Ovis aries: one gene and its partners. The protein of the gene in region 3 binds, or shares a complex with, the protein of the main gene of each other region. Links are inferred from orthologs where the notes say so. Each region holds a gene or a part of one and is shown on either strand. Other genes may lie near its edges.

Region 1 (3,500 bases), on a different chromosome or scaffold from region 3:
TGGAGGCCCAGCGCACCCCACTTCTCCCAAGACCCTAGGGCTGCCCAGCCTCCGACAGGCTGAGAGACCCCGGGCTGGCCCTGTGCACCCCTCAGTGCCCCCCAGAGCCCACTCACCAGGCACGTAGACAGAGGGATTCTCCGACATGCCCGGCAGGGGCTGGTAGTCATGAGGCCTGCGGATCTTCAGCGACTGGCCCTGGAAGATGATGCCGTCGAAGGCCATGGCCTGGGTGGTCTCGTCCACTGAGCGGAACTAAAGAAAGGACAGGAATGAAGCTGGTAAGGGGCAAGGCGAGTGGCTGGTCAGAGCCCACCCAAGGGTGCCAAGACCGCAGCTGGGTGGCGAGCAGACTGCAGAAGGGCCTGGTGGGAACAAGGCCTGCTCACCTCTAAGAAGGCAAAGTTCTTGTCCTGGTTAATCTGCACGGCCAAGACAGGGTTGCCAGGGGCCTGCGTCAGCCCCCCCAGGCGCATCTGAGCGTTGAAGAAATCCATCATGGCCTCCTGCAGAGGAGAGAGGAGACAGGGGGGGGCGGGGAGGGGAGGTGGAGAGAGGAGGGGAAGGGTGAGAGAGGGAGACACAGAGGGGTGGGGGGAGGGGGGGGACAGTGGAGTCCGGGTGGGGCAGAGATCAGTAGTTGGGACAAACGCAGGAGAAAGATGAAAGAAACAAGGGCAGGGGGCAGCACAGGAGACAGCCAGGGGCCCCAACCGGGGAAGAAGGGAGGTCATCAGAAGAAGCGGGAAACGAGGGAGAGGCGAGAAAACAGACGGAAAGTGTAGAGGAAACATCCAGTGGCGACAGCAGGAGAGAGACGGCATGAAGTGGAGCATCAACAGGCGGAGCACACGGAGGGTGGAGGGGGGGCGGGGAGGGGGGGGGGGGGGGGGAGGGGGGAGAGAAGAGTGATGTGGAGGGATCTGGTCCTGGAGTCGGGGGCTGGTTTATCAAATGCAGCAAAGTGCAGGTTGAGAAAGTCAGAATGGACCTTACTTGCCTTCGCCGATGGTAGCAAACTTTTTGTTGCTACGAGGGATCTCAGCCCCACAATATTTCACTTTAAAGAGAAATGGAAACAACTCTTTGATCTCGGGATTCTCGGGGGCGCCACGGGAAGGGGTAGGGAGAGGGGAGGGGACAGGAGCGGTGGGGAAGGCGGGGAGGTCAGGGCGATCAAAATCAGAGCAGCAACCATGGAGGGGTGGGGGAGAGGACGGGGAGGCGGCAGAGAACAAGAGGCGTGTCAGAGAGGCTGGGGCGTGCGTCTGCGTGTGTGTGCGTGTGCGTGTCTCCCTCTCTGTCTCTCTCCACACGGACTCGGACCACAGACTCGTGGGTACGTTATGTGTGTGCTTGATCCCTGGGCAGCTGGAGGAGGCTGGGGAGGGGAGATGGGAGAGGGAAGAGGAGGGAGGAGAGGGCCACCCAGCCCGGCCCCTGGCTGGCTCAACTCCATCGTCCGTCGGGGAGGGGGCCGGGGGGCCTTGCAGGCGCAGAGTCTGACCCGTGCAGGCTGGGGGAGGGAACGGACGGAGGGAGGAACAGCGGGCACAGGAAGGGGGGGCAGCGGGGGCAGGGGAGGGCAGTACCTCAGTGATGCCAAAGGGGATGTTGCCCACGTAGAGGCGCCGGGCCTGTCTGGTCATCTGGCTCCCGACCACGGGCACCGGCGTTGGGGTCACAGCCAGACCGTCAGGGGTCATGGTGGGGAGGAGGGCAGTGGCTGGAATCTGACCCGCAGCTTCAAGAGGGACAGAAGGGGTCAGAGGACAAACTGTCGGAGCAGGGTCTGCTGAGGGCCTCGCCCACCCCGCCCCCAGCCCAGGCGTGGAGCCCACCTTGCATGGCCTTGTACTGCATGGGGGTGATGTGCTCAAAGCCCGGCGGCGGCACGTCCCAGTATTTGCGGACCTTCTTCTTCTTCTCGTGGCGGGGGGAGCGACTGGGGGAGGCGGGAGGGGAGAGTGGGGCAGGGCGACCTCAGTCTGACCAAAGGCGGGCCTGCAGCCCCCCCGGCTCCCCTCGGTCCCCGGCTCGGCTCTCAAGGAGAGAGAGGACGCAATCAGGGCCGACCCGTTCTGGGCAGGGGACTCTTCCCGGCGAGCGGATGAGGACAGGGCGGGGTGCGCGGGGAGGCGGGGGAGGGCGTGGGGGAAGGGGCAGAAGAGAAGCTCACATCAATCCACCGTGCTCCTCTTTAGCGCCTCTGGTCAAAGGTTTGCTGGGGGTGGGAGGGAAAGGTGTGGGGAGGGGTGACTGGGGACCCTCGTCTCCCCGCACACCGCACCCCCCCGAGGGCACTGAGCCCCAGGGCTGGGGCAGGGCATCGCCCCCAAGCCCCCCAGCCACGAGGAAGGGAAGAAGGGCCAGACAGACCAGCTTCCAGCTGGAGGCTGAGGTGGGAGGAGGCGGGGCGCCACCCACCCGCCCTTCCACTGGGGCTGAGAGAACAGGGGGCAGCCTGGGAAGGGAAGAGGCGTCCGAGCAGAGAGCTGTCCCGAGAGACGCCGTCCCGCCCCAGGGAGGCAGAGCGCAGCCCGGGAAGCCGACGGAGAACCCAGACCAGACGGGGGAAGCGGGGCCCTGACCCCAGAGTCGCCCCCGGAAGCCCCCGCAGAGAGACGACGGCGGCCAGACAGGACAGCAGAGCCCCCAGCCCCGCGTGGAGAGGGGCCGGCGGCCCAGACGCAGCCCCGCCGCCCTGGTACCTGCGGCGCCGCCTGTCCCGGGAGGCGCTGCGCTGGTCCCGGTTGCGGCGGTCGCGGCTCCGGCTGCGGCGCTTGCGGTCCCGGCTCCGGGAGCGGCTGTGGCTGCGCTTGCGGTGCCGATTCTCCTTGTCGCGCTCTGCGGGGACAGGGCCGTGAGCTGGGCGGGGGCAGCCCGGCCCGCCCGCCCCCGAGGCCGCGCCCCTGCCCGGGAGGCCACCCCCACGGGGAAGGGCTCGAGGAGGGCGGGGCGGCAGGCTTCCTGTCCACGCACGCGGAGCCCGAGGGCCCTGGGGGCCGGGCGGGAGCAGTTACCTGAGGGGACAGGGCCTGGCAGGGCCCCGGGGTGTAAGGTACCTGAGTCTGCTCAGGAGGAGCTGGGGGGCCAGAGAAGTCAGAGGAGGCTGGCTCCTGGTCCCCCTCCAGGGCTGAGGGGCCTGACCCAGGGTCGTCCCTGAGAGGGGCAGGGCTAGACGCTGGGGAATCAAGAGACCCAGTGATGTTTTCCTGAAGGGACCCGGCGACCCCTCAGGAGACTCCTCCTCAACCAGCCGGCCCCGCGCCCCACCTCGGGCCCGCGTCAGGCCGGGCGGGGCCGGGCAGCCCCGGGGGGGGGGGGGCACCCACCCGTCCAGCCCCGCCCCCAAGCGGACCGCCCTCCTGGGAGGCCCCGCCCACCACCCCCGCGTCAAGGACGCAGGAGCTGGGTGGGCCCTTCGTCCAGACCGCCCCACGGCCGCTACAGCCGGGGCCTTCGACCTCCCCTCCTTTGCCCAGCAGCCCGCCACCCTC
Region 2 (3,947 bases), on a different chromosome or scaffold from region 3:
GCAAGAAACCTGGCTTGAGTCCCCAGCCCAGGGGACAGGGGAGATCAGGAGTTTCTTCTGGGGAGAGAGCACCAGAGACAGTATTCTCAGACACTGAAAGTTGGGGGCTCTGCATCCCCTAAACCTCAGCACTTTGCCAGGCCCACTGAGCTCACTAGAGAAGCACTGCTCTCCATGCAGAAGAGTGAAGTCGCTCAGTCGTGTCCGATTCTTTGTGACCCCATGGACTGTAGCTTATCAGGCTCCTCCGTCCATTGGATTTTCCAGGCAAGAATGCTGGAGTGGATTGCCATTTCCTCCTCCAGGGGATCTTCCCGAACCCGGGTCTCCCGCATTGCGGGCAGACGCTTTACCGTCTGAGCCACCAGGAAGCTCCACGCAGAACTGATATCTAAACAGATGTGAAGAAATGCATGTACTGGGGAAAAAGGAAACTCAGTGAAAAGCTCAACAGAAGATGTTAACATCCTCTTGGATGATGGGCGATGTTCCCACAGCTAGAACAGGATGCCACAGATTAGCATGGCCAATTAACACTAGATAAACCCTTTAAGCAAAGATGCAGTGAGCCTAACACACTGAATGTGAGCGCCTGAAGATAAGAGTCAAAGCTATCATAAAGAACAGAAAAATAAACAATAGCAAAATAACAAGATAACAGGAGGCAAAGCAAGAACCTAGAAATTTTGGACTGAGAACACAACATGGCCACACTACTATATTTAATAAAGATATAACCTATAGGAACCTACTGTATAAAGAACACAGAAAACTCTGCTCAGTGCTCTCTAACGACCTACACAGGGCAACAAAACGAAAAACAATGGGTCTGTATATATGTATAACTGATTCACTTCGCTGTACACCTGAAGCACAACACTGTTAGTCAACTACAGTCCAAATACAAAACTAAAACTAGAAAAGAAAAACAAAAAACTTGGAGAGTATTATCAAAGAAACAACCTAAAAAAATAAAAAACTCTCCAATAAATAGACCATGAAGTTTCCTAGTAGATGGAAAAAAACTCAGCAACAAGAGGTTAGAAACCAGGATGAGATGAGAGCCTTCAGAACAGCAGGAACACATAAGGCAGGGCAAGGCTTTTCCCAATTCCCATCAGGGGCTTTCAATCTAGAACTTTACACCCACACTTCTGACTGTCGGGATGGATAAAGCCATTTTCAGCAAACTGAGGACTCAAACTGAACAAATGAGTCGACTTCTTCAAAACCTACCTGAAGAGCTCTGATGGGAAAAAGAGGAGACAGTGGGACTGAAAACAGAAACCAGCCCATGGGAGCCTGGACAGAAGGTTCTAGGATAGTTACTCAGCTGCTGAGTGGAGCTCCAGTCCTCAGTGGAACAGGAGGATGCCAGCGCTGAGAGGGAAGTTTGCAGGCAGGAAAAGAAAAAAGACATCCATTGTTTCAACCCATGGCAAACTACAACCCATACGCTTGCAAAGAGCGCACTCATCCGAAAAGCCCCTGATGCTTGGAAAGACTAACCACGAAAGAAGGGGGCAGCAGAGGATGGGATGGTTGGATGGCATCACTTACTCAATGGACATAAGTTAAGTGTAGTTGCTCAGTCGTGTTCGACTCTTTGCAACTGTAGCCCACCAGGCTCCTCTGTCCATGGGATTCTCCAGGCAAGAATACTGGAGTGGGTTGCCATTTCCTTCTCCAGGGGATCTTCCCGACCCAGGGATCGAACCTGGGTCTTCCGTATCACAGGCAGATACTTTACCCTCTGAGCCACCAGGGAAGCCCCAATGGGCATAAGCTTGAGCAAACTCTGGGAGATGGTGAAAGACAGGGAAGCCTGATGTGCTGCAGCCCATGGGGTCAGTCAGATGCGACTGAAAAACAAGGCGTGTGAAATAATGATGCTTTGAGAGAAAAATTAATAACCAGCAAAATCAGACAAATAGGAAGAATGAAGAAATGAAAGCGCTCTGGGGGGAGGGTTAAGAGGAGAACAGTACCCTCAAAAAGCAGCACGGCTCAATACAGTACCCGCCTGAGCAGCGAACGCTATTTTCAGCCCTAGAAAATAAGACTGACAATCTGACTGAAGCTCAGGTTAACCACATCCATGGTATGAAGGATGAGGCTGCAGCGGGTGAGGGGGAGGCAGAAATGAGACCTCAGCAGTCACGGTAGGAAGTTGAGAGACCACTTCTACACCCGACTCAGGCTATTTACAAGCTCAGGTCGCTCGTACTCAGCTGCCAAAGGGCAGAAGGGAGAAGGGGGCCGGGCTCCCAGAGTGACAAGGGGAGAAGTCATTTAAACTCTGGGCTTCGCTCGCTAAACGCGCCTAGCTAACGGGTCTTGGGCCTCGAGCCAAGAGATCCGCCTCTGGACCTTCCTCACTCCTCGGCGGGCCTGGAACCAGGCGCGCCGTCACCCCCACCTATTACAGGAACCAGGTAAGCCCCGGACCACAAAGCCAGCAAACCAGAGGACTCAGGGAAGGCGCCCCGGGTCCGCTGCGACCCGACCCGACCCAACGGGCCTTTGCAACCGGAGCTCCCTGCGGGAGGGTGGGGGTGCTGGGCCGGCCCAGCGCCCGACGGGTAGAGAGCCGATGCCGCCCTCAACCCAGCACTTCAGCCACTCCCCTCCAAGGAGTCCCCCGGGGCCGCCGCCCTTGTCTCGCACTACTACTAATCCTCACCCACGATTTCGTCAAGTCCACGGGCTCCTCACACACTGCCTTGGTCTATTCAGGCGCCACAGCCACCGCGACGACCTCGTCCTGCGCACGCGCGCCGAGAGCTCAGAAAGCACTTCCGGGGACAGGACGGGCCGGGCCTCCTGCGTACGCATGCCCGGCCCGCCCAATGGCGCGGGCGACACGCTGATAGGCTGAAGGAAAGAGGGGAGCGGAGTGCAAACCGGAAGTCGAAGTGCGCGTGCACCCCGGATAATTTCGTTCTTTCGGTCAGTACCGCTCGCGCAGGGCCAGTTTTCGCGGGGAGGGTAGTTGCGACTCGCCTCCCACCCCTGGCGCCTGTTCGTTTGAATAACGGGCACCACCGGTCGTGGGGATGCTTTATTGTTCCCATCCCGGGTTCACGTTATTACATGGTCATATATGACACCGTCCATTTTGCCTATAGTCCCGTTCGCCCCAGGAAGTGCCCGCTCCGTCTTGACGGCCTCCGAGACGCTTCCGCCACACGCCGGTGATTGACAGACCGAGCGGCCCGGGAGCGCGCAGGCGTAGTAGCTCCGGCTGCGCTTCCGGGACGGCGCCGTAGGACCCTTGGCGCCGGCCTCGGCGAGCGTTGGGACGGCGGCCGGGAGGGCGCGGCCGGCGTTCCGCGTTCTGGGTACCGGCGGCGCCATGCGCTATAACGACAAAGAGCTGCAGGCGTTATCCCGGCAGCCTGCCGAGATGGCAGCCGAGTTGGGCATGCGGGGACCCAAGAAAGGCAGCGGTGAGCGGTCCGGGACGCCGGAGCGGGCGGGCGGCTGAGGGGGCGGGAGTGGGCAGGTACTGAACCCGCGCGATCCCGCCTTGTGCTCGCAGTGGTGAAGCGGCGGCTGGTGAAGCTGGTGGTCAACTTCCTTTTCTACTTCCGGACGGACGAGGCGGAGGTAGGGTGGTAGAGAGGATCGGAGTGGGGGTTAGGTTCGGAGTTCGGAGTCGGGGACGGGGCGGGGTCGAGGTCGGGTGTCAGAGCAGGGCGGGCTCGGGAATCGGGGGCGGGGCAAGGGGCGGGCGGGTTCCCGGGGTCCTCCCCCATGCGCCTATTTGCCCGCAGCCCATTGGAGCCCTGCTGCTGGAGCACTGCAGAGTCATCCACGAAGAACCCAGCAGCTTCTCCATCAGTGAGTGCGGCCTGGGACGAGGCTGCTTGTCCCCGCCCCGGCGTGGCCCCACCTAAGTCCCTAGAGGCTGAGTGCAGTGTCCGGGCAGCCTCACGCGCTGGCCC
Region 3 (2,626 bases):
TTACGACATGACATGGGCAAAGAACTCAAAAGATTGTCTTATTCTAACTAGCATGACTTAGAGGTAGCCTCACTCCCTACAAGTAGAAGTTTAAGCTACTTTTCCCACATTCTAAACAGAATTGTCACGAGTTGGATATGACTTCAATTACTTCCCTTAAGCAAATTCATAAGCATTTTGAGAAATCAAGAGATGAAAGGCGCTATGCAAGTGCAAAATAATATTAAAGACAGTTCAGCAAAGGTGCTATATTTTCTAAGGTGATGGAAGGGTTGTGCTAGTTTGAGGTTAACACCCTCAAAGCTACTCTTCCTAATGTCTTTATCAACAGAGCAATGGAATTTTGACAAAGATACCATCACTTTATATAGCTTGTATTCTACTAACTACTCTCTATAAACCAGGTGACAGAAAACGATATTAAGCCACTTATTCTACAGAAACCAGTACTTTATCAAAGTTCCGCATTTTACAAGTCATGTTCAAAAAACACACACAAGTTAGCATTTTGTACACAAACGTTTATTTCTCAATTAAACATTCCCTTTAAACACAAGGAATGAATTCTAAATCTTCATAAACATGAATTAAAAATGAAAGCCCTCCAGTATAGTGTGTGTAATCACTGTGTTCTTGGTCACTACTGGCGTTTACTGCTTAACATCAAAAACAAAGGTTATTTAAAAATCATGCTACTGGATTTCTAGCTCTTCCTCTAAGACCAGGTCTACGCTGATCTGCAATGTTTAAAAGTTTACATCACCAAATCAAAGCAAGTTTAAGGTGTGAAACAGCTGTGCATTAAACACAAAATAAACAATAAAGTTACAAGATATAGTCAAGTTCATAACGAATATAGGTGTTCTTATCATCATTGTAGATTCTTGGGTAATGTGCTATGAGAGCATCCTGTGAACCGATGTAGATGGAGTTGTAAATTTTCCAATACACATCTCTGACTTTCCGGGCTGGGTGAAACAAACCCTAGAATAATTAAAAGGTTATATTATTTCAAGAAATACATAACCTTAACACAACTAACAAACAAACCATAAAGATATGGTTCTAAACATCTCCCTTTGAGAGAGGAAAAAAAAAGATGTCAATTTCATAAAACTGAAGTGGGCAAGGACAAAATCTAATCTTCTCTCCCCTCATAACTGTTTTCCCATATGGCACAAATATATCTTCCCTAATGATAATTAGGAACAGTGACTTAATTCAACTACATTATTTTTTCAATGAATACTGTTTAAAAAACCTTTAACCTACCTGTAAACAATACTGTAGCATTCTACATGGTCCAATAGCAACTCTCAGACCCTCCAGGGCCCCCATAACTGCCTGAATTACATGGGGAGATGTCTCGAACACATTGGGCCATACATAGTTCAACAAGTGATTCAGCGAATCTTCGCAACCAAATCCATAAACCCCAAGTGACATGTGTTGCACCACTGCACTAGCAGTCTGTCTGTGTACAAGGTCCCTGTAATGGAGAGGGGAAAAAGCTTTTTATTAAGATGCAGTCTTAGTTTCACAGAAAATACTTGCATGCCTGTTAGAAACTAAATCACAAATTCAGTGCTTGGAATGGATGCAGAGTCATCCTTACACCTCGTGTATCTGACATAGGATACCTTAAGAATGACTGATGATTATACTTGAGAACTTTTGCTTTGATGATTCAAACCTGCTCACAATGGCTCAAAAATAAGCTATATTTTTCTTTCAGAGTAACAGGAGCAAGAAGGCCCAGCACAATGTGTATTTTTGCAAGCTACTAAAAATAAGAGAGGATACATGACTCTTAACATACGAACAATTAACAGTAATATCTCATTTTAAACTCTGTAAATTTAAAATCTTCGGAAGTAATTCAATACTGTATACAGTAAATAAATAAAATGAGATTAAATCCCTTCCCTTGTGGTTTTTTAAAAAGATTCATTCAAGAGTTCAATTTGGGGAAAGGAAGAGAAGGACTAATAATTTTTTGAAACCCAGAAAAAAGAACTTTTATCACCTCCCATGTTTTGACTGACTTTATGACAAATCATTGACTTATTTATTCCATAATTTATTCAACTGAGTACAAGTATCAGATAAAACGTCTATGATAGGTATAAAAACAAGTTCACACGTTTTACCCTCGAAGGCAAGAAGAGAACCTGAAAGGTATTTAAGAGAAAAAAATACTTTTTTCTCTTAAACCTTAAGAGGAAAAAAAAAGCACCTGAACCGACTTAGTTACTAGCATCTTTATTTCTCTTATTTATTATAATAATCTATTAGGCATAGATTATAATGAATCTGTATTCCTCCTTGGTAAATTTCCCAACTAAAGTAATGTTTCTTGGTATTAGGACTGTATCAATCACCTCCAGCAATACTTTATCAGGGGTCACCATCTGAATAATTGGGGGCCTGCAGTGACAATAGTGTGGCTCTGGCAGGCTATGTTCAGTAGTTAAAAGTGTCTCTGCTTCACCTGCCATAACAAAAAGCTAAAAAGATCAGGTCTCTCTGTTACATCAATAAGCTCATGCTCATCATTTTCTTTGTAATTTTTAAAACAAAAGTTGATTGGAAATTCCCTGATGGTCCAGTTGTTAGGACTCAGCGC
Region 4 (3,500 bases), on a different chromosome or scaffold from region 3:
AATCCTCTGTTGATGCCCACTTAGTACCTAGTGCAGCTTTGCACAAAACAGGCATTCAGGTGAACGAATGGAAGGCCTTCTAACAATATGTATCGTCCTCTTATTTGTCTGAGTTTATCTCAGTCAGAAAATAAATGGGTTTTAGAAAATCCAGCTTAATATTTTAAGTGTTAAAGTATATACTACCTAGCTTAAAAAAATGCAGTCCAGACTAAACATTGCAAAACTTTTTTCCCAAGGTTTTATGACCATTATTATGAATATCATTTATTGAACTACAAAGTAATGGCATCCCAGTTGATTGCCTTAAATGTTAACTTGCAGAATTTTACCCTAGCTGTAGTAACTAACCTGGGTGCTCTGTCTTATTGTTCTTCTTTTTCTTTCTTCTATCAGCTTACTAAATTACTGCTTTCCTTGGATATCTCTTGAAATTCTTTTATCTCAATTTTAACTTGCTGTTTTCTGATATACAGTAAATGGAATCCCAATAAATAGAATATGTCTAATCAAATTGTAGGTTAATGAGCATATTGGTGATTTTTCAAAAATTGACTTCTGTAGCAATAATTGTAGCTAGATAACAGTTTGTTTGCTTTCTGATTTTTTTTCTTTTTAAAGCACCAGTTCCTCTGTTAAGTTGGCCAGGTCGATAAAATATTACATTTTTAAAATTTCAGTGATGATACTAACTTACCAAGTATTTTCACCTCTGTTTGTGTCATTTGCTTCTCTAAATCATACTTAGGAGGTACTAGGTTTCTACAGTTTTTTTTCTCCTACATGTTGATATAATACATCCTTTAAGCTTTTTGTTACTTACGAAGTGTTAAATTAACTTCTAGAAAAGAGCCTCATTGTGGAAGGCAAGAGGGAAAAGAAGAAAGTAGAGAGGTTGACGATGCAAGTCTCTTCTTTACAAAGAGAGCCATTTACAATCGCACAAGGTAAGTTTCTATTCCTTTCATTCTGTAGTGAAAATGCCTCAGTATACAACATGATGGTTAGCAATGTTTAGTTTTTAGTGTTTATTAAGTACTAATATATTATAGGTGTAATTTAATTTGTCCTGTGAGAGCATATGTAAACTAAGCTCTAAAAATAATTCTCATTAAATGTTCTAACACATAATGGGTGTTTAACATGGTATTTTTTTTCCCCCCTAGGAAAAGGGCAGAAACTTTGTGAAATTGAAAGGATACATTTCTTTTTGAGTAAGAAGAAAACAGATGAACTTAGAAATCTCCATAAACTGCTTTACAACAGACCAGGAACAGTAAGACCTTTTTTATACTTTTTACCTAGTAGTGTACTTACGTGTTAAAATACTTTACAACAGGAACATAATTTTAGTTCTGGAAAGGACTTTAGTTCCAGAACTAAATCAACTAGATCAATCTCCATTCCATACAATGTAGCTAGATATAGCCATTAGTATTATAATATCCAGAGCTCTTTATATTGTTGTTTTTAAGTGAAAGTCGCTAAGTCGTGTCCGACTCTTTTCGACCTCATGGACTATACAGTCCATGGAATTCTCCAGGCCAGAATACTGGAGCGGATACCCTTTCCCTTCTCGAAGGGATCTTCCCAGCCCAGGGATTGAACCCAGGTCTCCCGCATTGCGGGCAGATTCTTTACCAGCTGAGCCGCAACGGAAGCCCAGGAATACTGGGGTGGTTAGCCTATCCCTTCTCCAGCAGATCTTCCCAACCCAGGAATCGAACTGGGGTCTCCTGCATTGCAGGCGGATTCTTTACCAACTGAGCTATCAGGGAAGCCCATAGTTGTTTTTAAGCCAAACTAAAATTTCAGATTGTGAAATCAAAGTTTTGATTTAGTGATCTTTAACTGTGTTAGAAGAAATTTATTTTTTGAATGTTTCTAGCCATTCAGAATAAACGATACAGAATATTGTGTCTCCTTATGAGGAAATATCTGATAAACCAGGGGATAATTTTTTGCCAGCAGTTTGTTAAAATAAATCAGTGTTTCATTTACTGATCATAATACTGTACACACAACTTCAGTGTTCCATACACCTGAGGACACTTCGCTTTGGGCTATGCATGGGCAAAGTAAAGCTTGACATTGTTTGGCTGTCTGAAGCGTGGTAAGCTTTGTTTTCATGTGTGTTACCTCATTCCACCCTGACAATAGTCTGATCTACACAAGTCCCATTACTGCTAAATGGTATTGACTTTTGGAGGGACTCTGTTATTTGCTTTTTAAAGAATAAATCCCTGACTTTCTTATTTGAAAAATTAATAGTACTGGTAACTTATGTTACTTAAGGAAGGAATTTTTTTTTAAGTTATTTATTTATTTTGGCTGCACTGCCTGGCTTGTGGAATATTTATTCCCCAACCAGAGAATGAACCTGGGTCTTGACAGTGAGAACGGGGAGCCAGAACCACTGAACTGCCAGGGAATAAGAGTAGTAGCTTTCCATATCCCTGGGTGTTATCAGATAACATTTAATTGTGGTTTTATAATTACTCGGGAAATTTCCCAAATGAAATACATTTTAATTGAAATTGGTATTTTCAAAGAATTAAGTTTGTAAACATTTTATAATGTTAATATTTTAGTAACAAATGCACTTTTCCATTGTGAATTTTAAAATATGGAATAAACCGCTATTGTAACGTGGAGACAAATGTGAAAAGAAAAATGTTGGCTTTGAAATTTTTCTTGTTTACATTACTGGGTAATAAGTAGCATTAATAATAGGAGAAACGTTTTCAGGTGTCCTCATTAAAGAAGAATGTGGGTCAGTTCAGTGGCTTTCCGTTTGAAAAAGGAAGTATCCAGTATAAAAAGAAGGAAGAAATGTTGAAAAAGTAAGTTATCTTTATAAATAATCATGTTTAGATTAATGTGCTTCAGCTTTTTTTTTTTTAACATTTTAAGTATAACTGCCCTTACATTTTCAGTAGACTGCTGATTCTTTGCTTTAAATTCCAAGACCATGTCATCATAAACTATTAACTTGCTTTCTGAAAAATAGTGGCTATCAAGATTATTGAAAGCTAAAAGACATTTCTGTTCCTTAGAAGAATGATACACAGAGGTAAATCATTCACACAGCTCCAAATTCAGAAGGTCCAAAGGGAATGTAAATGTAGTAAAAACTCTTCCACTCCTATTCTGTGTCAGCCACTCCATTCCCTCACTTTTAAGTGCCATTTAAACTATTTTGAAGATAGTCAGGTTAACAGAAATAATTTCCACCCTAATGCAGACAAGATGATATATTCTTTTTAAACAATTTTTTAAATAAGATGATACATTGTTTAAAGTTTTTTATTAAGGCCCCTGTAGTTTAAAACTTGAGTATTAAATATGATTACCTATTACCTTCTTTGAGACATTGTCAGTAGGAATGCTCAGGGGGAAATGTAGTATTTAATCACCAGCCACAAGAATTAACAAGTTTGTGAATTTTAAGTAATGAAAAATTTTACATAATTTTCTAGTGAATGAAGTAAGTTTTTTCT
Region 5 (4,173 bases), on a different chromosome or scaffold from region 3:
TACTGTCAGATCTGGCCAAGCTGAAGCAAAATTGACTTGTTTAACTTAACTGGAAGTACCAAAAAAAAAACCAAAAAAAACCCAAACCAACCATATAAACAGAACTTTAAATAATCTTCTAATAAGAATTCTGTTTTGGAAAGGAAGAAACTGAGAACTGAACTGAATTGAAACAATCTGCTTGATGCCTATAGGTTAGTGGGAGAGCCAACACATGAACCCCAATAAAAATAATAATAATTAAAAATACCCATCTTATGATTCTGTCAAAGTTATAATTCTCCAAAAAGTAAATACATATACACATACTCATATTTTTAACTTTTATACTCATGTTTTGCAAGCTAAATCTACTTGCCTGATTCAGCCTTTCTCTTTTCTCCCTTCTTTTTCAGATCACTGGGTTCAGGGGGTTGTCTTTGCGGAGGTTCTTCTGCAGGCCTGGCACTGACATCTTGGATACTTGCAGTAGAACTCGATGCGCCATCGTTAGAAAAGCCATAATTGGCCTGATATGTAGCAATGAAATCTTCAGTGATCTAAATAAGAAGTTTAGTGCACACACACACACACATTAAAAAATGATTTCCTACTGTGAAAAGTTTACACTGTATTAAATAACAGTATATTCAGTTATACAATGTCACATTTGAGTGTTTCTGTGGATAACAGTAATTAAAGCATATATGAAGAACAGTCACCTACATAGAAAACTGTGCAAGAGAATAAAAAAATTAAGACATGGGTACTTGGATTATCAACACAAAAGTCTGAGATACTATTAAAGGCATTTTAAGTGATGTTGGCACCTTTCCTAGTTGTTTCATTTGTAAATTACTATCTCTGTAGTCTACTTGACGAAGACTACAAGTATATATAGCAAAGGAAGTACCAGATAACAATAAACAGAATAAAAACCAACAGTCAACTAATAATCTAACAACAGAATCAAATTTTCTTTTACTATACAGATGAACATAAGGATATGTACTCAAATCACATTATCATTTAATGTCAAAACAAATCAAGAACAAATCCAACTCACATCCATCCTCCTGGCTCTTAGAGAAAAGAACAATTGTACAATGAAACAAATGTAGTTATATCTTCCTACCAGTCAATGTGAGGCACACATAGGAATGAGGAAAATTTTGAACTTGGAAGTTTGAAGTGGTATGGGTTCCATAACATAAAAAGATAGAGCCAAAAATTACTATACTATCAGACGACTGTTGAAGTACTCAGAAGGCTGAAGAAACCAAATCTGCACTCTAGCTGGCACCACCAGTACCCAAGTGAAATGTTAAGTTTAACAATTTAGAGGGATTGGAACATACACACAAATAAAAATTGGGAAAGAAAACAGTTTAAATAAATAATTTAAAAAATAACACTCAAATTACACAATGCAGACACGGTTTGCATCACTGGCTTGCAAATCTATTAGTGTGCGATAAGTATCCTTTTTTTTCCACCTGTACCACAAGACTTTGATTAACAGGGTACTCTGACCAAAAAGTTTACAGAACCAAGTTTAACATCCGTCATTTTACTTCCAAGCTGAAACTGAATGCTTAAAAATTTACAGGTACTCTAAATAAATAGGCACAGATCCTTTCCATCCAAATTCTGTGCTCCTCCTGTCATATTCCTGTAGTGATATGGTTCAAATATACGTGTCTAGGACCAACTTTAGTAGGAAAGAAAAAAAAAGATGCAACCTTTAATCAGTAAAAATTTACCAATTTATCAATTTTTTTCAACTCAAGAAGTTGCATTTTGCACCTAGCACATCAGTTAACCATCTGAATTCCTAGGATAAGATTGAGACTGCCTTGAGATTAACATCCATTGAATTTGCTCTTGATGTTTTTCTCTTTGCAATAAAAAGCAGTCACTGACATAAACCAACTGCAACCTTCATAGATAAAATTAATAAGGCATAAAAAGGACTTAAGAATTAAATTACATTGAAGACATCTTCCTAAAGATTTCCGTTCCTTTACACGTCGGTTCTGCCACAGACACAACAAAAAGAAACGTCACAACCAGAGGGGCTCTAACCCAGGACCTCAGCAAAGAAAACGTGAAAGGAGCGCCCCGCGAGGCTGGCCAGGTGGGCCCGCTGTGCAGCGGCGCCCGGGCGACTCTTACCTTGGGGAACCAAGCCTTCTTGTCTAGGTCCCACTCGTACGGGGTGTCAGTCGGCTGCTGCCCGAAAGAATCGGTTTCTCCACCGGGATCTTTCTCGGTGTCGTCGTCCTTGGTGTCTCCGTACAATTCTTGCATTCGCAACTGCTCATCAAACTCGTCATTCGCATCCAAGTTGTTGCCGCTCATGTTGCCCACTTAGCCTAGAGGCAAGGTCCGGTCGAGCGAAGAGGCCGAGCTGATGCTGGAGGGGAACAGAGAAAAGGAGGTTGGCCACACTCAGCTCGCTCCCCACCGCCCCCCGGCCCGCCTCCCCGCGGCGCCCCAGCAGCCCCCGGGAAGTCAGGGCCACTCGGCGGCCGCACCGCCCCCCGCTCCGCCCGCTGCCCGCCCGCCGCGCGCGCGCGCGCGTCGCAGGTCCCGGCCCCGCCGCGCCACCGCCCACCTGATTCGCCCCGCCGGGCCTCGCCGCCGCTGCCCGATCCGGGTCGAGGCGGGAGCGCGCACGCGCGCCGCCGCCGCCGCCGCCGACCGGGTCTGAGGCAACTGCGGCTCCCGCGTCAACGTCTGGAAACCACTTGGAAACCGAGGCCCGCTCAGGATGACGAAGTCGCCATTGTTGGCGCGTCGCGTCGTCGCGGGGCGCACCGGCACGCCCCCAGTGGCGTCAGTAGGAGCCGACACGGGCCAGAGGCGTGGGGCCCCGGGGGCGGGGCTCCGGGAGCTGCGCTGCTGCCGAGCGGAGATGCTCAGCAGGGCTGTCCTGGCGCGGGGGCCGCGGGGAGCGCAGGGCCTACGGCCTCTTGGGAACGTTGGGCTCCGCGGGGTCCGCAGCGGGGCGGTAGCCCAAAGGCGTGGGAAGATTCCCACTCGGCCGGCGCCGGAGCAGGCGTCGAGGCGGCCGCCATCTTGGGGGAGTGGACGGGACAGGCGGGACAGGACGCGCTGCGACAGAAAGATGCGCCTCCTTCTCCCAGAGGCCCCTCCTCCGCGTGGGAAACGAGTCTTTCACTTGTTTCGTGAAGACTTCCCTAGGAGAGCCGGGTTAGCCCGAGCTGGTAGTACAGGGTCTGATGTATAGTGCGTGTGTGGTGAGTGAATGAATGAACGAACGAATGGTGAGTGGAAGGACCAACCTTCTCTCCAAGTCTCTGCTCCGTCCTTTTCTTTCTGGTACCTTCCTCAGGCTGGAGATGACTCTGGAAAGGAAAGGCAACAGTTGCCTGTCCCTTGTTCTCCAAATTTCAGACTTGCTCAAGCTACAAATCTGAAACTGTAACATCCAGTGTACACACCACCTTTACTGCCCCACTAACGTCGTTTTTTGATGTTTTAGGAAAAAAGTGCATGTGATAGAACTTACATGCATATTTATAGTGTAGATAACGAGTTTTATTGGGCTCATATACGTTTTGCTAAATATTTCTTTTAGGATCCAAAAATAGTATTCAGCTGTTTTCAGCAATATGTTATTGAGCTTCCATTTCATTCCTGAATAGGTTCACAGCATAGGTGAACTAAGCAGTTCATAGGTATACTAAGCAGTCCTGCTGCACGTGACTCTGAGCGCCTGCTGTATCCACAGGCCCTTCCGAGCAGGTGGCCAAAAGTTGATGTTTAGCTCCTGTGTGACCCAGTTGGAGGCCTGTGAGGTGACTTGGTAGGGTAGCCCCGCATTCTAGACTGAGTTTGACTCACTGAGCCAGTAAGCCTCTCCCAGAAAGAGGGACGAGTAGGAAATGTGGGCATGGGCAGAGTAGTCTTCTGTGGCCAAGTTCCGTATGGGTGAGAGGAGAAGCTGAGGCAGTGATAGAGGGTCATTGAGTCACCACTATAGTGGAGTTGGGAGCGAAACATGCTTGTAGCTATGATAGCATTCTGTTTGGCCATTGGGTCCCACAGTTTTGTTGCTACTGTTTAATGCTATTGTCCCTATGCGACCTGGTTCCTACTTTTATTTCCTTGTGGATTCCTAGAATTCAACCCCTAGTAACTGAGTTAATCTGGAAGTGTCTCTTTATA
Region 6 (3,063 bases), on a different chromosome or scaffold from region 3:
GATGCTGAAGCGGAAGCTCCAATACTTTGGCCACCTCATGCGAAGAGTTGACTCATTGGAAAAGACTCTGATGCTGGGAGGGATTGAGGGCAGGAGAAGGGGACGACAGAGGATGAGATGGCTGGATGGCATCACTGACTCGATGGACATGAGTTTGGGTAAACTCTGGGAGTTAGTGATGGACAGGGAGGCCTGGCGTGCTGTGATTCATGGGGTCGCAAAGAGTCAGACACGACTGAGCGACTGAGCTGAACGGAACAGTTCGGGTTGAAGCAGGGTTTTGGGGTTCAGGCCCTAAGAAGCAGTGGTCAGTGCCCCTGAGGCTCCTCCCTGTGTAGTTTGAAAGCTGTTACTGATTAGAGGAAGAGCAGTGGACTAAGAATTCAGAGCTGCGGGTTTCAGTTTCAGTCCTGCTGTTAATACCAACATGTGGTGTCTTGCTTTGCTGTCAGTCAGCCTTAAGCGAGGCAGCCACTGTGGGCCCCAGTTTCTTTATTTCCATCTATTAAACAGATAGTCCTTAAGCATCCTTCATTTATGAAGCCAGTCATTGGAAACTCTTCTGTACTACTTAGAAAAATGCAGTCATCTTCATTACATGAGACTATACTTAGTTTTTGACAGGATTACTTAAATTGGTTATGAGCCTTGTAGCAGAGCAGGTACAGGGGCACCCAGGAAGTCTGGTATTTTCTAACAGAAAATGCAGTTCCCTGGGGAGCTCTTACCAGAGGAACTAGTGTTTCCTTCACCTCAGAGGTAATCTCAGTGCACCCAGGATTCCAGCATCCACTTTTTAATCTGTCTTCTGAACATCCCACAACTTCTGTCTCTTAGCCCGTTAGTAGATAAATGGCATCATCAACGCCCTTGTGGAATCTACATTCTCTCCTCCCGGAAGGAGATTACTGTGATGTAAAATCCAATCTGTGCTGTAGCTGATGGCCCAAGTACAGGGACCTTTCTCCTTTTCCTCCTCGCAGGGGCACGGTAGCACATAAAATCATGCAGAAGTATGGCTTCCGGGAAGGCCAGGGTCTCGGGAAGCATGAGCAGGGTCTGAGTACAGCGCTGTCGGTGGAGAAGACCAGCAAGCGGGGCGGCAAGATCATCGTGGGCGATGCCACCGAGAAAGGTGGGCCTCCCCTCGGGCAGGGCTCCTGGGGGTGTGGGCGGGGGCAGGCCATCCTGAATGAGAGAATTCCTCATCGTGATGCCTTCCAGCTCTGGGTGGTGGAAACAGTTCTGAGGCCCATCTTTACAAATAGTTCAAGACAGAGAGACAGAACGCCTGTGGGAGGAAAAGAAGACGAGAGGCTTTGGCAGCAATGAACAGGACTCCAGAAATCCTGTCATGCCTGCTTCTCCTCGGGAAAGAGCCTTGTTATACTGATAGAACCGTTACTGAGTTTTTATAGCAACGCAGAGCCATACGCAGTATATCAGTAATTCTTTCTGCTGTATCTCTATTCTGTAAGGGTTCTCTGCTTTTTGCTTTTTTCTGCCCTTTCATCCTAATTTTCTTACTGACTGCTCTGTAAAACTAGCATTATTTTGCAGTCTTCTGGTAGGTGATGCCTGCTTGGTGTTCTATTTTCATTTGACTGTTACAGTCTGTTCTGTAGTGAGGGCACGCTGGAATGAGTCAGGCATGATTTAGCACTTCAAGCAGGAGAACTCCGTAGTTTTGAATCAGTCTTAGCTGAATGCTTTTTCCTGAAGAAGGAAGAGAACTTTCCTGCCAGGCATGTTGACGTCGAGCTTGAAGCAGCACTAAGCCTCACAGGCTGGAACCAGAAACCAGCAGTCAGCCCAGTCTGTGGGGGTATTTGACACTGGTCAGCTCACGGCTGGCTGATGAACTGCTCGTTTACACTGGGCTCACGACCTCTGACCACTGCCTGAGTCAAGACTCGCTTCTGAGGGTGGTGATCACTGTGCCCTGTTGGCCCTTTAGGAAGTGAGCTAAGCAAAAATGCACCTGAGGATATTAAAAAGTTCTAGAATTTATGGTAAAAATTATACCAAAGTAAAGTGATGCTTTCGGATAGGAAAGGCTACATCTTGGCTCAGAGACTGTGTAGATGCTGGCTCTAGGACATAGAGAGTGGGGATTGGTGTTCAAAGTAAATTGCTCGTTGTAACTTAGACTTGGTGCCCTGACACTTCTGTCTGATGATGTTTTCTTACAGACGCAGCCAAGAAGTCAGATTCAAATCCATTAACTGAAATACTTAAGTGTCCTACCAAAGTGGTCCTACTCAGGGTAAGGAGCTGAGGGAGGAGCCCTGTTTGCCCTGTGTCCCTCCCCCCACCCTGTCCCTGCAATCAGTCAGCCCGGCTGATGATGGGATAGCTGAAGCGAACTGAAGGTGGTAATTGTGGGAAGACTCCCTGGAAGACTGGTTTTTAGATTCCTTTTCACTAGTGTTTCTTTGCTAAACATTAGTATTTAAGACTACAGTGAGAAATTACTTTAAAATGTTTGAAGTTGTCAGAAATTCAGCTTGGTTTGTGTATTCTGGTGCTTGCCCAGTTGCTCTGGTAACTCTTATTGAAGCCTAATGTATATTTTTTAATTTTTTTAAAAAAACTAACCTACTTCAGGATATTTCAGGAATGAAAATTTTCTTTGAATCATTTGGGTTTGGAAACATTTGCCATCTTGGAAAAAAGTTACTTATACATCTCTTTGACATAGTTGTCAATTATACTCAGTACTGGAATTTATATGTTTATTTTTGTTTCTAGAACATGGTTGGTGCAGGAGAGGTGGATGAAGACTTGGAAGTAGAAACCAAGGAAGAGTGTGAGAAATATGGCAAAGTTGGAAAATGTGTGATATTTGAAGTAAGAGAGATTTCTTTGTTTATAACCCAAGTTATGATTGATAGGTCACAAAGCATTTTCTGTAAATAGAGGATGCATTGTAAGTAACATACTGTCTTTAGAAGGTGACATGTGTTGGTTAGTTATACTGCTTTTACTCAGTTATTGCAATTTCAGATATTAGCATAAGAAGAACTTCAAATTTTATTTGGTGAAGAGACATTTCATTTTGTG
Region 7 (3,993 bases), on a different chromosome or scaffold from region 3:
TCTCAGAGCTGGAGGCAGAGGTGGGAAGATGAACTGAACTGACTGATCAGGACAGGGAGAAGCAGAAGGGGGCAAGCAAGGGCCACCTGCCCATCCCTCCCTCAGGGGCACAGGCCGCTGGTGGGGTAGGAGAGCACCAGACAGGGTCTGCTGCGCCAGTAAGCTGGTGGGGATGAGGGAAGAAAAGGTCCTGAGTTTATTTTCTTTCTTTTTCGGCCTTGCGGTGCGGCTTGTGGGATCTTAGTTACCTGACCGCGGATGGAACCCGGGTTTCCCCAGGGAAAGCACTGAGTTCGACCCACTGGACCACCAGGGAATTCCCCTGCGTTTATTTTCAAGACTAAAAAAGGATCCAAATCTTGTCGCTTAAGACTGCTTTTTTTTTTTTTTTTTCCCCCTTTCAGTAATAATTCATTGAGCACTTCTAACGCCAGGTACTGTGAGACCGTAAAAACTCATGTCTTGGGAGTTGTAAGTGCAGAAAAGGGCAAGAAAGATTTCAAAACAAATGGTAGAGGTTTGGCCGCTCCAGAGCAGGAAAGGCGGGAGACAGTTTAACGTAGATGACATTTGAGACGGCCAGGAAGGTGGAAAAAGGGGCTTTAGTGTGGCCCTTCCCCCAGGTCGGCAGCTGGATCTCAGCCCGGAGGGCCGGCTTCGTTCCCGTCTCCGATCTCCTTTCAGCCCATTCATCCATGCCTGGGCCGGGGATGGGCGGGCAGACAATCAGACACTGTTTTATCACAGGCATCGGCGGCAAACTCCCGCTTGGCGCCCACAGCGCGCGACCGCCGGGGGAACGAGTCCCTGGAGAACGTGAGCGTCCAGGCCTCTCAAGTCCAACCAGGGAGTAGCGCCGCAAGGCGGGAGGTCTGCGCTGAGGCCAGTGAGATGCAGAAAGCACGCCCTTCGGGCAGGACCTGCTTTCCCCACAGCCCCGCCCCGGCTCTGGCCTCCAGAGTTCCCCGCGTCGCGGCCGGCCGCGATCCTCCCGGATTTGAATCCGCAGAGATCGTGACCTGTGCACTACAACTCCCAGAAGGCTTCGCGACCAGGCGGCCTAAGGAGCATTGGAGAACGGTAGGGGGTGGGCCCTGATGGGAACTGCCTGGCAACCCTCGAGCGGACGTGGCGTATCGCCCTACCGGAAGTTCCGGGAAGTGGGTCCGGAGGCTGGTCCGAGCTTCCGGGTTGGTCGCGCGCCTTCCTGCGGCTAAGATGGCGGCCGAGCATCCGGAGCCTCCTAAGGGAGAGTTGCAGCTGCCGCCGCCGCCGCCTCCTGGACACTATGGTGCCTGGGCTGCCCAGGAGCTTCAGGCCAAATTAGCAGAGATCGGAGCTCCCATCCAGGGTGAGGAGCATGGGAAGTCAAGGGCAGGAAAGTGCAGGCCTGCGGGGAAGCGGAGCTGGTTACCCCGGAGACCCGGGGGCGGGGGTTAGAGGCTGGCCGCGGTGGCCTGACTTGGGCAGGCTGGCCTGCTCGACCTGACCTACCCCGTTGATCCTGTGCTTTGCTTAGCAGGGAGTCGCGAGGAGCTTGTGGAGCGATTGCAGGCTTACACTCGCCAAGTAAGTGTTGGTGGCGGGACATGAGGATAGGCCGAGCGTTTGCAGGAGGCATTAATGACCCGTTACAACTCGGTCTTCGTTGTTTACGAATCTCGGTACAGCAAGTGGGGTCTTGGCTGCTTCGTATCTGCTGTGTTATAATTGCTTTTGTATATATCGTTTCTTCCCAGAGCCCATTCCGAGCTCTGGCAGACAGTCACTGGGTAAATTTTGTTGAATAGACGAGAGCGAACGCTGTTTCATGCACCAGCTCCTTTTAGACTGCCCTAGATTCTTTTCACTTTCACAGACTGGCATCGTCCTGAATCGTCCCGTTCTGAGAGGTGAAGATGGGGACAAAGCTGCTCCTCCTCCTATGTCAGCACAGGTAAGAAGACTGTCTCACTTGATAAGATTCTTTTCTACTCAGAGTAGCTCCTCCTCTGAGCGTACAGGGGGATACACGTAGCCCACTGGGCAGGGAGGTACACTGATGAAAGAACTGGGAACTCTTCAGTTCTTCCTTCGTCCAGATTCTTACTTCCTTTCTCAGTGTCAGTTCCTCCAAATTTCATGTGTCATTTAAGATTCAGCTTAAATATCTGGAAACCTGACATAATCCTTCCCCAGCTGGAAGTAATCACTCTCTTCTCTGCCCTCCCTGTGCAGAGTTCCCATGTTATTCAATGAGAAATTAGGGCTTACTCTCTGATTTAATTTCATACCTTCTATATTTAATCAGTCATTGGGGCACACTGGGTCTTATTTATTTAAATACTCTCAATTTCCATGTCTTTTCTGATCCAGGATTTGATAGTTTTTCTGTAGAGCAGTGGCCCTGACTTGGGGTCCAGGGACTTCTATGTGTGGCATAAGAAGGTTTTTATTTTTTGAGGGGTTGAGGAGTTTTTCAGAAGGCCTTTAGAGGTGTCCGTGAGTCTCCTGAAATTGTATGTGAAGTCTGTGTTCATGATGTTCTTCTGGGACAGAGTTGACAGCTTTCATCAGTTGGTGGCACAAAGTTAAAATGCTCTTCTTTCGATACTGCCGTAGAGTATTCTTTCTTTTTTCCTTTATGTCTTTGGCTGCTCTGGGTCTTCATTGCTGTGTGCAGGCCCTTTCCAGTTGAAGCGAGCACAGGACTACTGTCTAGTTGTGTTGTGCGGCCATCCCATCGCAGTGGCCTCTGGTTGCGGAGCACGGGCTCCAGGGTATACGGGTTTCAGCAGCTGCAGCACACGCGGCACATGGGCTTAGTTGCCCCGCAGCACGTGGAATCTTCCTAGAGCAGGGCTCGAACCCATGTGCCTTGCGTTGAGCGGATTCTTAAACATTGGACCTTCAGGGAAGCCCTGCATTTTCTTGAATGCAAGAATTGTGCATCATTTGACTTTGAATCCCAGTGCCAGCCTTATATTAGTTCCCCAGCAAATGCCTGCCATTACATAAATGCTTCATAGTTAATGGCCTTTTTTTCCCCCCACAGCTCTCGGGGATTCCCATGCCGCCCCCACCCATGGGTCTCCCTCCTCTACAACCCCCTCCACCACCCCCACCACCCCCACCTGGCCTTGGCCTTGGCTTTCCTATGGCAGTTGGACCCCGCCCGCCAAACTTGGGGCCTCCTCCTCCTCTCCGGGTGGGTGAGCCCGTGGCGCTGTCTGAGGAAGAGCGGCTGAAGCTGGCGCAGCAGCAGGCGGCATTGCTGATGCAGCAGGAGGAGCGTGCCAAGCAGGTAGGGCAGGTGGCAGCCTGAGCCTGGGTCTCACCAGGGTCCTGAAAAGGGAGTAGGGCCTCCAGGGGAGCCGGATCCTGGGGCCAAGGCTTCTGGGAAGGTCTGGACCCAAGTCTTCAGGGCCTCGGCTGGAAGAGCAGACCAGGAAGCAGAGCTGTGGTAGACTGGCCGGTGGGGTGTGGGTACTGGAATGAGCTCGTTTTCTTTCTTAAGCAGGGAGATCATTCACTGAAGGAACATGAGCTTTTGGAGCAGCAGAAGCGGGTAATGCCTCCCTCTTCCTAACCTTTGACCTCCATGGTCTAATCCATCGTCTGTCACTTCTAGTGCTTACTGTCTAAAATTAGCCGTGCCATTCAGGTTTCCCATGGAGATTACCTCATCCTCATCTAAATTCCATTATCTCCCAAATAATTCTTTCTTTCACATAGCCAAGGAATTGGTAATCTGTGGACTATAGCCTGTTTTTGTATGGCCTGTGATGTAAGGATGGTTTTTATATATTTGAAGGGTTGTTTCGGGGAGATGGGGGAAAGGAATTTACAACAGTCTACAAACAACCCAGAAAGCCTAAAATATTTACTGACTGGCCCATTACAGAAGAAATTTCCTGACCCCTACTGGGCTTTCCCAATGGCTCAGTGGGTAAAGAGTCTGCCTGCAGGAGACAGGAGATGTGGGTTTAATCCCTGGGTTGGGAAGATCCCCTG

What was found.
Region 1: the proteins of SF3B1 (region 3) and U2AF2 are in contact, whole or in part, in a crystal structure (PDB 7SN6), measured with the Homo sapiens proteins. The link is inferred for Ovis aries from reciprocal best matches to the Homo sapiens genes SF3B1 and U2AF2. Residues at the interface, in NP_036565.2 of Homo sapiens: Ser336, Arg337, Trp338, Asp339, Thr341, Pro342, Ala343, Met346; in NP_009210.1 of Homo sapiens: Met383, Glu388, Glu394, Glu397, Ile398, Asp401, Val402, Glu405, Gln447, Gly448, Leu449, Thr450, Gly451, Arg452, Lys453, Phe454, Ala455, Val459.
Region 2: SF3B1 (region 3) and SF3A2 share a complex: the UniProt entries of both Homo sapiens proteins name them as parts of the 17S U2 SnRNP complex. The link is inferred for Ovis aries from reciprocal best matches to the Homo sapiens genes SF3B1 and SF3A2.
Region 4: SF3B1 (region 3) and DEK share a complex: the UniProt entries of both Homo sapiens proteins name them as parts of the B-WICH complex. The link is inferred for Ovis aries from reciprocal best matches to the Homo sapiens genes SF3B1 and DEK.
Region 5: SF3B1 (region 3) and HTATSF1 share a complex: the UniProt entries of both Homo sapiens proteins name them as parts of the 17S U2 SnRNP complex. The link is inferred for Ovis aries from reciprocal best matches to the Homo sapiens genes SF3B1 and HTATSF1.
Region 6: the proteins of SF3B1 (region 3) and RBM17 are in contact, whole or in part, in a crystal structure (PDB 2PEH), measured with the Homo sapiens proteins. The link is inferred for Ovis aries from reciprocal best matches to the Homo sapiens genes SF3B1 and RBM17. Residues at the interface, in NP_036565.2 of Homo sapiens: Arg334, Ser336, Arg337, Trp338, Asp339, Glu340, Thr341, Pro342; in NP_001139019.1 of Homo sapiens: Leu309, Met312, Val313, Asp319, Asp321, Leu322, Glu325, Thr326, Glu329, Leu372, Arg375, Tyr376, Phe377, Gly378, Gly379, Val382.
Region 7: SF3B1 (region 3) and SF3B2 share a complex: the UniProt entries of both Homo sapiens proteins name them as parts of the SF3B subcomplex of the 17S U2 SnRNP complex. The link is inferred for Ovis aries from reciprocal best matches to the Homo sapiens genes SF3B1 and SF3B2.

The regions. Positions count from the first base shown.
Region 1 is NC_056067.1:62,666,231-62,669,730, forward strand, and holds part of U2AF2 (splicing factor U2AF 65 kDa subunit), read right to left. Parts: intron 2,848-3,500; coding exon 2,712-2,847; intron 2,225-2,711; coding exon 2,180-2,224; intron 1,946-2,179; coding exon 1,842-1,945; intron 1,745-1,841; coding exon 1,593-1,744; intron 507-1,592; coding exon 390-506; intron 256-389; coding exon 117-255; intron 1-116. UniProt on the Homo sapiens protein: Plays a role in pre-mRNA splicing and 3'-end processing. By recruiting PRPF19 and the PRP19C/Prp19 complex/NTC/Nineteen complex to the RNA polymerase II C-terminal domain (CTD), and thereby pre-mRNA, may couple transcription to splicing.
Region 2 is NC_056058.1:19,182,315-19,186,261, reverse strand, and holds the start of SF3A2 (splicing factor 3A subunit 2), read right to left. Parts: upstream 2,801-3,947; 5' UTR 2,684-2,800; intron 1,863-2,683; 5' UTR 1,751-1,862; intron 1-1,750. Other genes in the region: PLEKHJ1 (pleckstrin homology domain-containing family J member 1), read left to right, coding at 3,356-3,449, 3,542-3,609, 3,777-3,843. UniProt on the Homo sapiens protein: Component of the 17S U2 SnRNP complex of the spliceosome, a large ribonucleoprotein complex that removes introns from transcribed pre-mRNAs.
Region 3 is NC_056055.1:199,700,664-199,703,289, forward strand, and holds the end of SF3B1 (splicing factor 3B subunit 1), read right to left. Parts: intron 1,490-2,626; coding exon 1,273-1,489; intron 985-1,272; coding exon 826-984; 3' UTR 501-825; downstream 1-500. UniProt on the Homo sapiens protein: Component of the 17S U2 SnRNP complex of the spliceosome, a large ribonucleoprotein complex that removes introns from transcribed pre-mRNAs.
Region 4 is NC_056073.1:38,626,901-38,630,400, forward strand, and holds part of DEK (protein DEK), read left to right. Parts: intron 1-845; coding exon 846-947; intron 948-1,166; coding exon 1,167-1,276; intron 1,277-2,748; coding exon 2,749-2,843; intron 2,844-3,500. UniProt on the Homo sapiens protein: Involved in chromatin organization.
Region 5 is NC_056080.1:98,729,608-98,733,780, forward strand, and holds the start of HTATSF1 (HIV Tat-specific factor 1), read right to left. Parts: upstream 2,801-4,173; 5' UTR 2,597-2,800; intron 2,396-2,596; 5' UTR 2,341-2,395; coding exon 2,155-2,340; intron 540-2,154; coding exon 359-539; intron 1-358. UniProt on the Homo sapiens protein: Component of the 17S U2 SnRNP complex of the spliceosome, a large ribonucleoprotein complex that removes introns from transcribed pre-mRNAs.
Region 6 is NC_056066.1:10,895,321-10,898,383, forward strand, and holds part of RBM17 (splicing factor 45), read left to right. Parts: intron 1-983; coding exon 984-1,135; intron 1,136-2,192; coding exon 2,193-2,266; intron 2,267-2,751; coding exon 2,752-2,850; intron 2,851-3,063. UniProt on the Homo sapiens protein: Splice factor that binds to the single-stranded 3'AG at the exon/intron border and promotes its utilization in the second catalytic step. Involved in the regulation of alternative splicing and the utilization of cryptic splice sites.
Region 7 is NC_056074.1:40,571,963-40,575,955, forward strand, and holds the start of SF3B2 (splicing factor 3B subunit 2), read left to right. Parts: upstream 1-1,193; 5' UTR 1,194-1,218; coding exon 1,219-1,351; intron 1,352-1,519; coding exon 1,520-1,569; intron 1,570-1,858; coding exon 1,859-1,936; intron 1,937-3,034; coding exon 3,035-3,283; intron 3,284-3,496; coding exon 3,497-3,547; intron 3,548-3,993. UniProt on the Homo sapiens protein: Component of the 17S U2 SnRNP complex of the spliceosome, a large ribonucleoprotein complex that removes introns from transcribed pre-mRNAs.